Cricetulus griseus: one gene and its partner. The protein of the gene in region 1 purifies or fractionates together with the protein of each later gene. This does not show direct contact. Links are inferred from orthologs where the notes say so. Each region holds a gene or a part of one and is shown on either strand. Other genes may lie near its edges.

Evidence for each region.
Region 2: the proteins of Etv6 (region 1) and Lrp6 purify together in Homo sapiens (affinity purification with mass spectrometry; 3 studies listed by BioGRID and IntAct, counting the BioPlex papers as one, with this or other methods). This does not show direct contact. The link is inferred for Cricetulus griseus from reciprocal best matches to the Homo sapiens genes ETV6 and LRP6.

Annotation. Positions count from the first base shown.
Region 1 is NC_048601.1:14,704,340-14,708,158, forward strand, and holds part of Etv6 (transcription factor ETV6), read right to left. Parts: intron 1,391-3,819; coding exon 1,285-1,390; 3' UTR 1-1,284. UniProt on the Homo sapiens protein: Transcriptional repressor; binds to the DNA sequence 5'-CCGGAAGT-3'. Plays a role in hematopoiesis and malignant transformation.
Region 2 is NC_048601.1:14,504,434-14,508,252, reverse strand, and holds part of Lrp6 (low-density lipoprotein receptor-related protein 6), read right to left. Parts: intron 2,962-3,819; coding exon 2,667-2,961; 3' UTR 1-2,666. UniProt on the Homo sapiens protein: Component of the Wnt-Fzd-LRP5-LRP6 complex that triggers beta-catenin signaling through inducing aggregation of receptor-ligand complexes into ribosome-sized signalosomes.

The DNA of each region.
Region 1 (3,819 bases):
TTGGAAGATACTACGGACTTTATGCCAAGGTGAAAAAAAAAAGCCACAAATACATCTTCTTGAAATACAGCAATGACAGGAGGAGAAATGAATGAATCTGAGGGATTTCCTGTCTTGTGCCGGTTGAGCAAAGACCGGCTGTGCTAAGTCTGCACTCCAGAGTCCTCCCTTATGTGTGGTCTATGTTCAGTAAGGACCAGCAAGGAAAAACAAAAAAAGGCTGGGGCTTGGAGTGGGGGTGGTGGCAATGAAACTGACCACTCTGCTTTCTCACCAGCCTTCACAACTTGTTCCTCACAGCAGAGAAGCTCTGCCTAGTTCCTGGAGCACTAGGCCTGTGTGAGCTTCTCGTATTTTCCCACTTTGCAGCATTTCCAGGATAATCCCAAAATGCCAGGGCCCTCCACATCATTTGTCCAGCCTCTGGCCTATCTTATGACCAGACCTCCCACTGATCTTTCTGGAATACAGCAGCATTTATGAGGTGTTTGGCCTCCCTCAGATGCCCAAGGCCACTGGCTGTGTGCTGATGGCCCAGAACAGCTGGGCCAATGTTTACTTTAGGTGCTAGTGAGGCCAGGTCTGCTAAAAGGCATGTGACATTGAACAGCAGGCAGAGGAGGCAGAAGGAGGGGTAGAATGAGTGAGAGAAGGGGGGCGAGAGGGAGACGGAGACGGAGACCTCTTTCATGTTTTGCAAGTATCTTTTCTTTTTTCTTCTCATCCAAGACCCGACTGCAACAGGACAAACCTGATCTGTGTGGCAGGAAAAAGAGGGGCCTGATCCCTTCTGCAAGTCTCTTTCCTGACCAGCTGAGCTGGCTGTACTTCGGGAGATTTGCAAAAATAAAAATAAAAAAAATAGATATATAATAGATATATTTCCATAGGAAAACAACATGTGATGTCTTCCCCTGTATGAACGATGAATAGTCAAACTGCATGTTCTTAAAAACAAAAAACAAAACCCCCAAAAACAAAACCAGAAACACCATGGGACTAACAGCAGGTGCGGGGTGGGGTGAGGCGTTACAGACAAGAGGTCCAAAGGAGAAGCAAGTGTGACATGTGAGTCTCAGGCTTGTGCCCTCTGCCAGAATTCCAGCCCCGCCATTGCTGGGTGGTTTGTCTAAGGTGCTCTGGGTCCCTCTCGGTCTGCGAGAGAAGTGTTCCTGCCATTCCTGGGCCTCTTCCTTCTTAGCCACACCCAGCTCCATCACACCTCTAATGGTCCCTGTGCGCAGGGTTCATTTTGGCCAGCCGGTGAGGCCGTGGTGGGTCCCCTTAGCATTCGTCCTCTTGGTACGATTGTTCATCTAGCTCCTGAGACTCGAGGTGCTCTAGACGGTCTGTCCGGCCGCTCATGATTTCATCTGGGGTTTTCATGAACCTTTGGAGCAGGAAATGAAAGCGTCAGAAGAGTCTATTCCCAAAGATACCCTCCCTCTCCACTCCAACCCCCAGAGCAACATAACACGGAGCTGGGGACCCACTGAACCTACACACCGGTGCTACCTCGGCATAGATTAGGGAAAGGTTCCTTTCTTACCCTTCTGAAAGGTGACAAGATGACCATGACAAGTTGAGGGGACTATGAGAAGACAGCTCCTTTTGGAGATAGGGGTGTGTTATTGCTGGTTTGGTGCCTTACTGCTGGATTGTAGGTCAGAACCTGGGTACTACTTATTGTCTGTTTCTTAGCTTTAAAGATTATGTGTGTGGTGTATGTACACACGTGTGGATGAACCCCACTGTGCAGAGGACCAACAGGACATCAGGTATGCCACCCTGTCACTTTCTGCCTTAGTCCTATGAGACGACTGGGGGCCAGCCAGGCCTGGTGACCCACCTGTCTCTGCTCTCCACAGAGCTGGGGTTACAGGTGTGTGCACAGTCTCATCTGGCTTTGTCTGAGTGCTGGGGACTTGAACTCAGGTCCTTATGCTTGCCCGGTGGAGCCTTCTCTTCATCCCTGAGTTAGACTTTTATAAAGACCCACCAGAGTTCTACATCTGCTCCCACTCCAGTCTGAGGACTCAGGGAATAGTATTCAAAACTTGACTTGAACTCAAGGGATGCTATTAGATGTTAACTGGATACTTTTTACCAACGGGCAGCTTAGGGAGGGAGGTCTCTGAAAATCAGGAAAGCGAGAAGGATCTGTGTCCACCATCTATCTGAACTGTCAGAAAGGACTTCCCTTTAGCACGCCCCCTTCTGTTGTAGCTGGAGTGTGCAGCAAGCCTCACATTCTTAGTCACTGTGTGTCACTTGGAATAGCACCAATGTCATGTTCTGACTATTGTTTGCACAGTGCAGGGAGGAAGCTTGGTTGCAAATGTCCCATCTTTTCCTGGATGGCGGGGGACGGACGACGACTCCGCAGTCGACACTTTCCCCTCTTCCTATGCCCTGCCCCAAGCCTATGAACAACCTTCAAACACGTTTCCTCTCATCATCCCACCAGGTCAGAGATGCAGTCTTTGATCCATCTGCCATTACCCCCACCGAAACACTTACTTTCCCACTGTTCACTTCCGTTAACTCACCACTCCTGCCCGCTAGTCCTGACAGAAACCATGGCTTGTGCCCTTTTGCAAATTTTCAACATTGTTCTGATCTGGAACCTTCTGGATCCCTTCCAGAGGTGCTTATCGGTACAAGTCCACACTGCAGTCTACCTAAACATCCTGAAACATACCGACCATGCCCTGCCTTCCGTGGATTACAGGGGAGTCATGGACTAATAAGCCATCGTTTTGTGCAGTTTGGCTTCCGCTCTAATAGCACGCTCCCTTTCTCGTGCTCAGAGCCCCTCACTGGATGTTAGGGGACCTGCCTCGTCTACCGACACTCCTTTCTGCTGGAGACTGCTAAGTTCCCTGGGCAGTGCACATCACAGTGCCTGCTGCTTGTCTCTACTTCCATCTTCTTGCTAAAACTTCTCCCTCAACACCTGAAGTTGCTAAAGATCCAGGCCAACTTTACAGTTCACACTGGATTCGGCTTTCAGAACTGCCCCTTCTTCAGGCCACTCTGATATTCCATACCAGGACAGTCAATAAACACTTATTGAAACTCTCCCTAATTTATACACAAGGTTAAATAGATCAGAAGGCTCATCTCCTAGGAGTTACGGTTTACTTGTGGTGAGGAACGCTTCACGCATATTTTTGTTTTAAGATTATTTATTTTTAATTTTAGATGCAAATGGTGTTTTGCCTGCATGTGTGTCTGGGTGAGGTTGTCTGATCCCCCAGAACTGGAGTCATGGACAGTTGTGAGCGGCCATGTGGGTGCTGGGAATTGAACTCAGGTCCTCTGGAAGAACAGCCAGTGATCTTAACCACTGAGCCATCTCTCCAGCCTCCACACATGTTATTATGCTATACTATTCACAATTACTAAGGCTGTTTTAAAGATTTATTTTTATATATGTATATGTCCTGCCTGAGTTTATGTGTGCCCTGTGCATGCAGGAGCCTGAAGAGGCCAGAAGAGAGCACCGGATACCCTGGCAATGGAGTTACAAGTAGGTGTGAGCCATCACGTGGGTGCTGGGAACGGAACCTGGGGCTTTTACAAAAGCACTAACCGCTCTTAACTGCTCTTAACCTTTCCAGCCCCATACATACTATTAAAAATGGACATTACAGTGTGCTGGAGGAAAGGCAACTCAGGAGTTGGTGGAAAAGGGTGTCTATGTCTGACTGAGCATTTCAGAGGGCCCTGTAATAGTCAACTGGATGTAGCCTCGAAGGTGTGCATATGTGAAAAATTAAGGGGATACACATGCCTGGCAGAGGAACTGGAATGCTA
Region 2 (3,819 bases), about 200 kb from region 1:
CGGGCCTTGGTTAGAAGACTAGGACTCTAAGTCAAGTTTGAGTCCTAGTTATAAAAGACTTCAATACAGAAAAGTTTGCTGCAGCGTACAAAAGCAAGCTACACCAAAGCTTACCTCACACACTCTCCTATAGGCATACTTTAAGATACAAGTTCAAAATAAATATCCATGTAACTCTGGAACCTAATCAAATTTTATTCAAGTTTCCTCTTAAATAATCAACCTAGACACATCCTAATTTAAAAATTCCTCCCTTTCCCAATTTGTGTTCTCGTAAATTTATTTTTCGCCTTGTTTTTCTTATGTTCAATAACCAAGACACAGTTTACTTAAACTTAACTGTCCATGCAACTTGAGCATCATTATCTTTCCCAAGTTTAACAACCATCTCACTAAAAAGTACTCTCAGAAATACTCAGCTGCCCCAGAAAGAGGATACTGAGATTAACCTGAACTGCCTTCGAATCATTTCAACAAATTGGCACACAAATCAGTATTTTGCAAGAAGAGGCCATTGCCATCGCAGCACAAGCACTTGGACTGAGACGCAACAAGGCAGCATCCTTCTTAGCTCACTATAGTGCAAGTCTCTACATGGGAAGCCCACCAGATAAAGATGCACATTAAAAATGTAAACATATAGAATTCTCAAATTCTAACTGATACCCAGTTATTGCTAACCTTTCCATCTTCACTTAAGCATCAAGCGCCCCTGTGCATCACAGAAGGCAAGTTCGATGTCCATTCTGTCTTAGACTCTGAGCACTTTGTTTCAGTAACAGGAAGAGTTAATGATTATCTGACTGAAAAGCAAGACACGGATGGATTGCCATTTACTTATATGCAAGATAAGTGGCCCTGATTTTGATTAAGCTGTACCCAACAACACAGCATTATCTTAAAAGGTTTGTTTTTCTCTTTTAAAATGTACTTATGTGTATTTTAAAAGTTATTTAAACTCCACCAAAATTCTGGAATCATTTCCTCCATTGTTTTTGCTTAAGCTCTAAAATCTGGAGAAGCCTCACATCAATATATAATTTAAAATATATTCAATAAGTAATTAACACCTGCTAAGGTAAAAGCACACTAGCTTAAAAACAGCTCAACTTTAGCAGAGGAGAGCTAGACACATGGAAGAAGCAGGAGACTAACCCTGGCACAGAGGCAGAGCAGGGTGAACTAAGGTCATCCCACAGGTCAGCCCTGACAGCGGCAGAGGTAGCAGCTCAGGCTGTCATGATGGCAGGTCAGACATGTTACAGAAGAGACTTCCCTTAGTCCCCACCACTCAAGTTCCTGCAGCTGAGAAGTTCAGTGAGTCTTCTCATTTAATCTCCACTGTTACGTTTGTGAAACTATCTTAATCCATAATGGGATAACAGAGAACACACATAGAAACACAGGCGACTGTAAGAACAGACTGCGGGTTATGTGAAAACAAATACATTCACAGTGCATACATAACAAGAAGGTACCTCACACCACACTAACAGAGGTATGCCTGTAGACGTCACTCTGAAAAAAGCTGGTCCACAGAAAGTGAAAATGTCACAAACAGTTAATATAGGGGAAACCTAATAACAAAAAAACCCTTCTTTTTAAATAGACTGTTTCTAACCAGAGCACATTTCAATGTTTAGTCAAAAAACATACATAAAATGATCTCACACTGTAATATTGTATGTTGCAAGGATACAAAACTAATTAACAAAAATATAACAGCTAGATTTGTGATTTTTAAGCATTGTCTATATGTGTTGTAAAAAGACACTTTAATGAGCATTAAAACAATCATGGAAGACCAATAATATGGCTAACTTCTGATTATGCAAAAACAGCCTACAACTTAAAAGCTCAGCCAAATGGTGAACAAGCATAGTAGATACACCGAATCATCAATCCCTTGTTGAGTAAATTCCATTTAGTCAATTCCTCAGATTAAAATTCTTGACTAAATCATGGCTCTTGGCAGAACGTCCTACAAGTTGCTGGGGAGGCAGCAAGGTGAAAGCAGCCAATGTTACCAAGAACTGGGACAGAGGTGTGGGCTCTCACCAGCTGCACAGCATCCTGCAACAGCAACACTCAAAATGGATTGTACAAATATCTATTTTCCTTAAGAAAACTGTTGGATTCCTAGAGAAAACAAAGCCCTTTGTCCAAAGTTAGTACTGTAATTTTTTTTTTCTTTTATGGTTTCTTAACTCGTTGGCCCTCAAATGTTAGTTAATTTGAAGGCGATTTGGCTACTTCCAAGTTTGCCACTCTTGAGATGGAATTTCTTCTTTTTCTTTAGTTTTTGGTATCATTAAAACCCAGACTTCCGGGCAGCGATGTCTCTGTTGTCCCTGTTTCCTTTGTGCTCAGTCACTTCACTGGGTTTAAGGCATGCTTTGTGTATTTAGTTTGCAAAAATAAAACCTTTAGTACAAACTTATATTTTATACAAACTTTTATGGCACAAGCAGCAAATCTGCTCTTTTAAGAAAATATATAAATATCCTTTTCTTCTGTACAAATATCTCCAGTACCCCACCCCCTTTATAATGTTAACTGTACAGTCTGCCTCACTCTTCTTTACAGCTCCCTCCCCCCCTCCAGATCTCAACCAGATGTGTATTTACATTTCCCGGTGGAGGCAGTCAGAGGAGGAGGGCCCCTCCTCAGGAGGAGTCCGTGCAGGGGGAGGGCGGTGGTGGATAGAGGTGGTGGGAGTAACTCCTCTCTGTGTATGGAGAAGGGGGGCAGCTTTCATAGTTCTCCTCTGCTGACAAGTACTGGCTTCGGGGTGTGGGTGGAGGGGGCACAGGCTCTGAGTCATAGTTCAAGTCACTGGTGTAGCCCTTGGCTGTTGCCACTGAGGTCATTCTCCGGCTAGGAGCATAGTCACTGTCACAGACGTCAGTGCTGCAGGGTGTCGTGGGCGGGGCAAAGTGCCGGTAGCTGTAAGGCCTGTAGCTAGTACATGGAAGAAATAAAGAGAAGCATAGTTAGTTTTATGAAAGAATATTCTGTATCAGAAATCAGAGAAACACATAAATTCAGTCTGAAAGCTAAAAGCTGTTGCAGCTCAAGTCTGTATGGATGGGTAGCCCTTCCCTGGCATGTGCAGTGAGGCCATGGGTCTCCAGTATCACTATCCCAAATTAAGCCCACTGTGCTTTTTATTGTCACAGGGAGACCTTTGCAGTTTCTTATTTGCAAGTAAGATATAACTAGAAGCAAGTGAAAATGGATGGAGTTGGAGGGCAGAGAGGAACTCAATGGAGCCCCAAATGTGCTCTGCTACCTTGAGATGAATTTAAGTGCAAGTGGTGTACATAAGCCCTGGGTTTGACCCCAGCATCTTTATTACTGATGCACTTTGGAAAACTGTTCTAGTGTCCCCGGTGCTGGGGACTGAACCCAGGGCCTTGCCCTCACAGAGCAAATGGTCTACTGCTCACCTCCAGCCTCAGCCCACCTGTTATACACCTCACTCTCAGAGAACTCAGCAGTTCCTGCAGCTTCATAGCGTGGAAATAGGTCTTCACACAGTCTACTCTCACTCAACACTTTTTGGTCATTTCATAATTTGTCTGATAGTAGTTCTGATTTCTGCATGGTCAGATATACTGTGCTAAGTACAGTTAAAATGCCCAGAGGGCCAGTGAACTTTCTAACACAGTGTAAGAGTTTAATACATGTTTATACTTGTTTATGTACCCTTTAAATAATCTATAGTTACTCATGAAGGTAAGAGCTGACCTAAAATACTGGCTTGTCTATGTATGATTTCTACAAGTTTTTTTCTATGTATGACCAAGCTTATTTTAT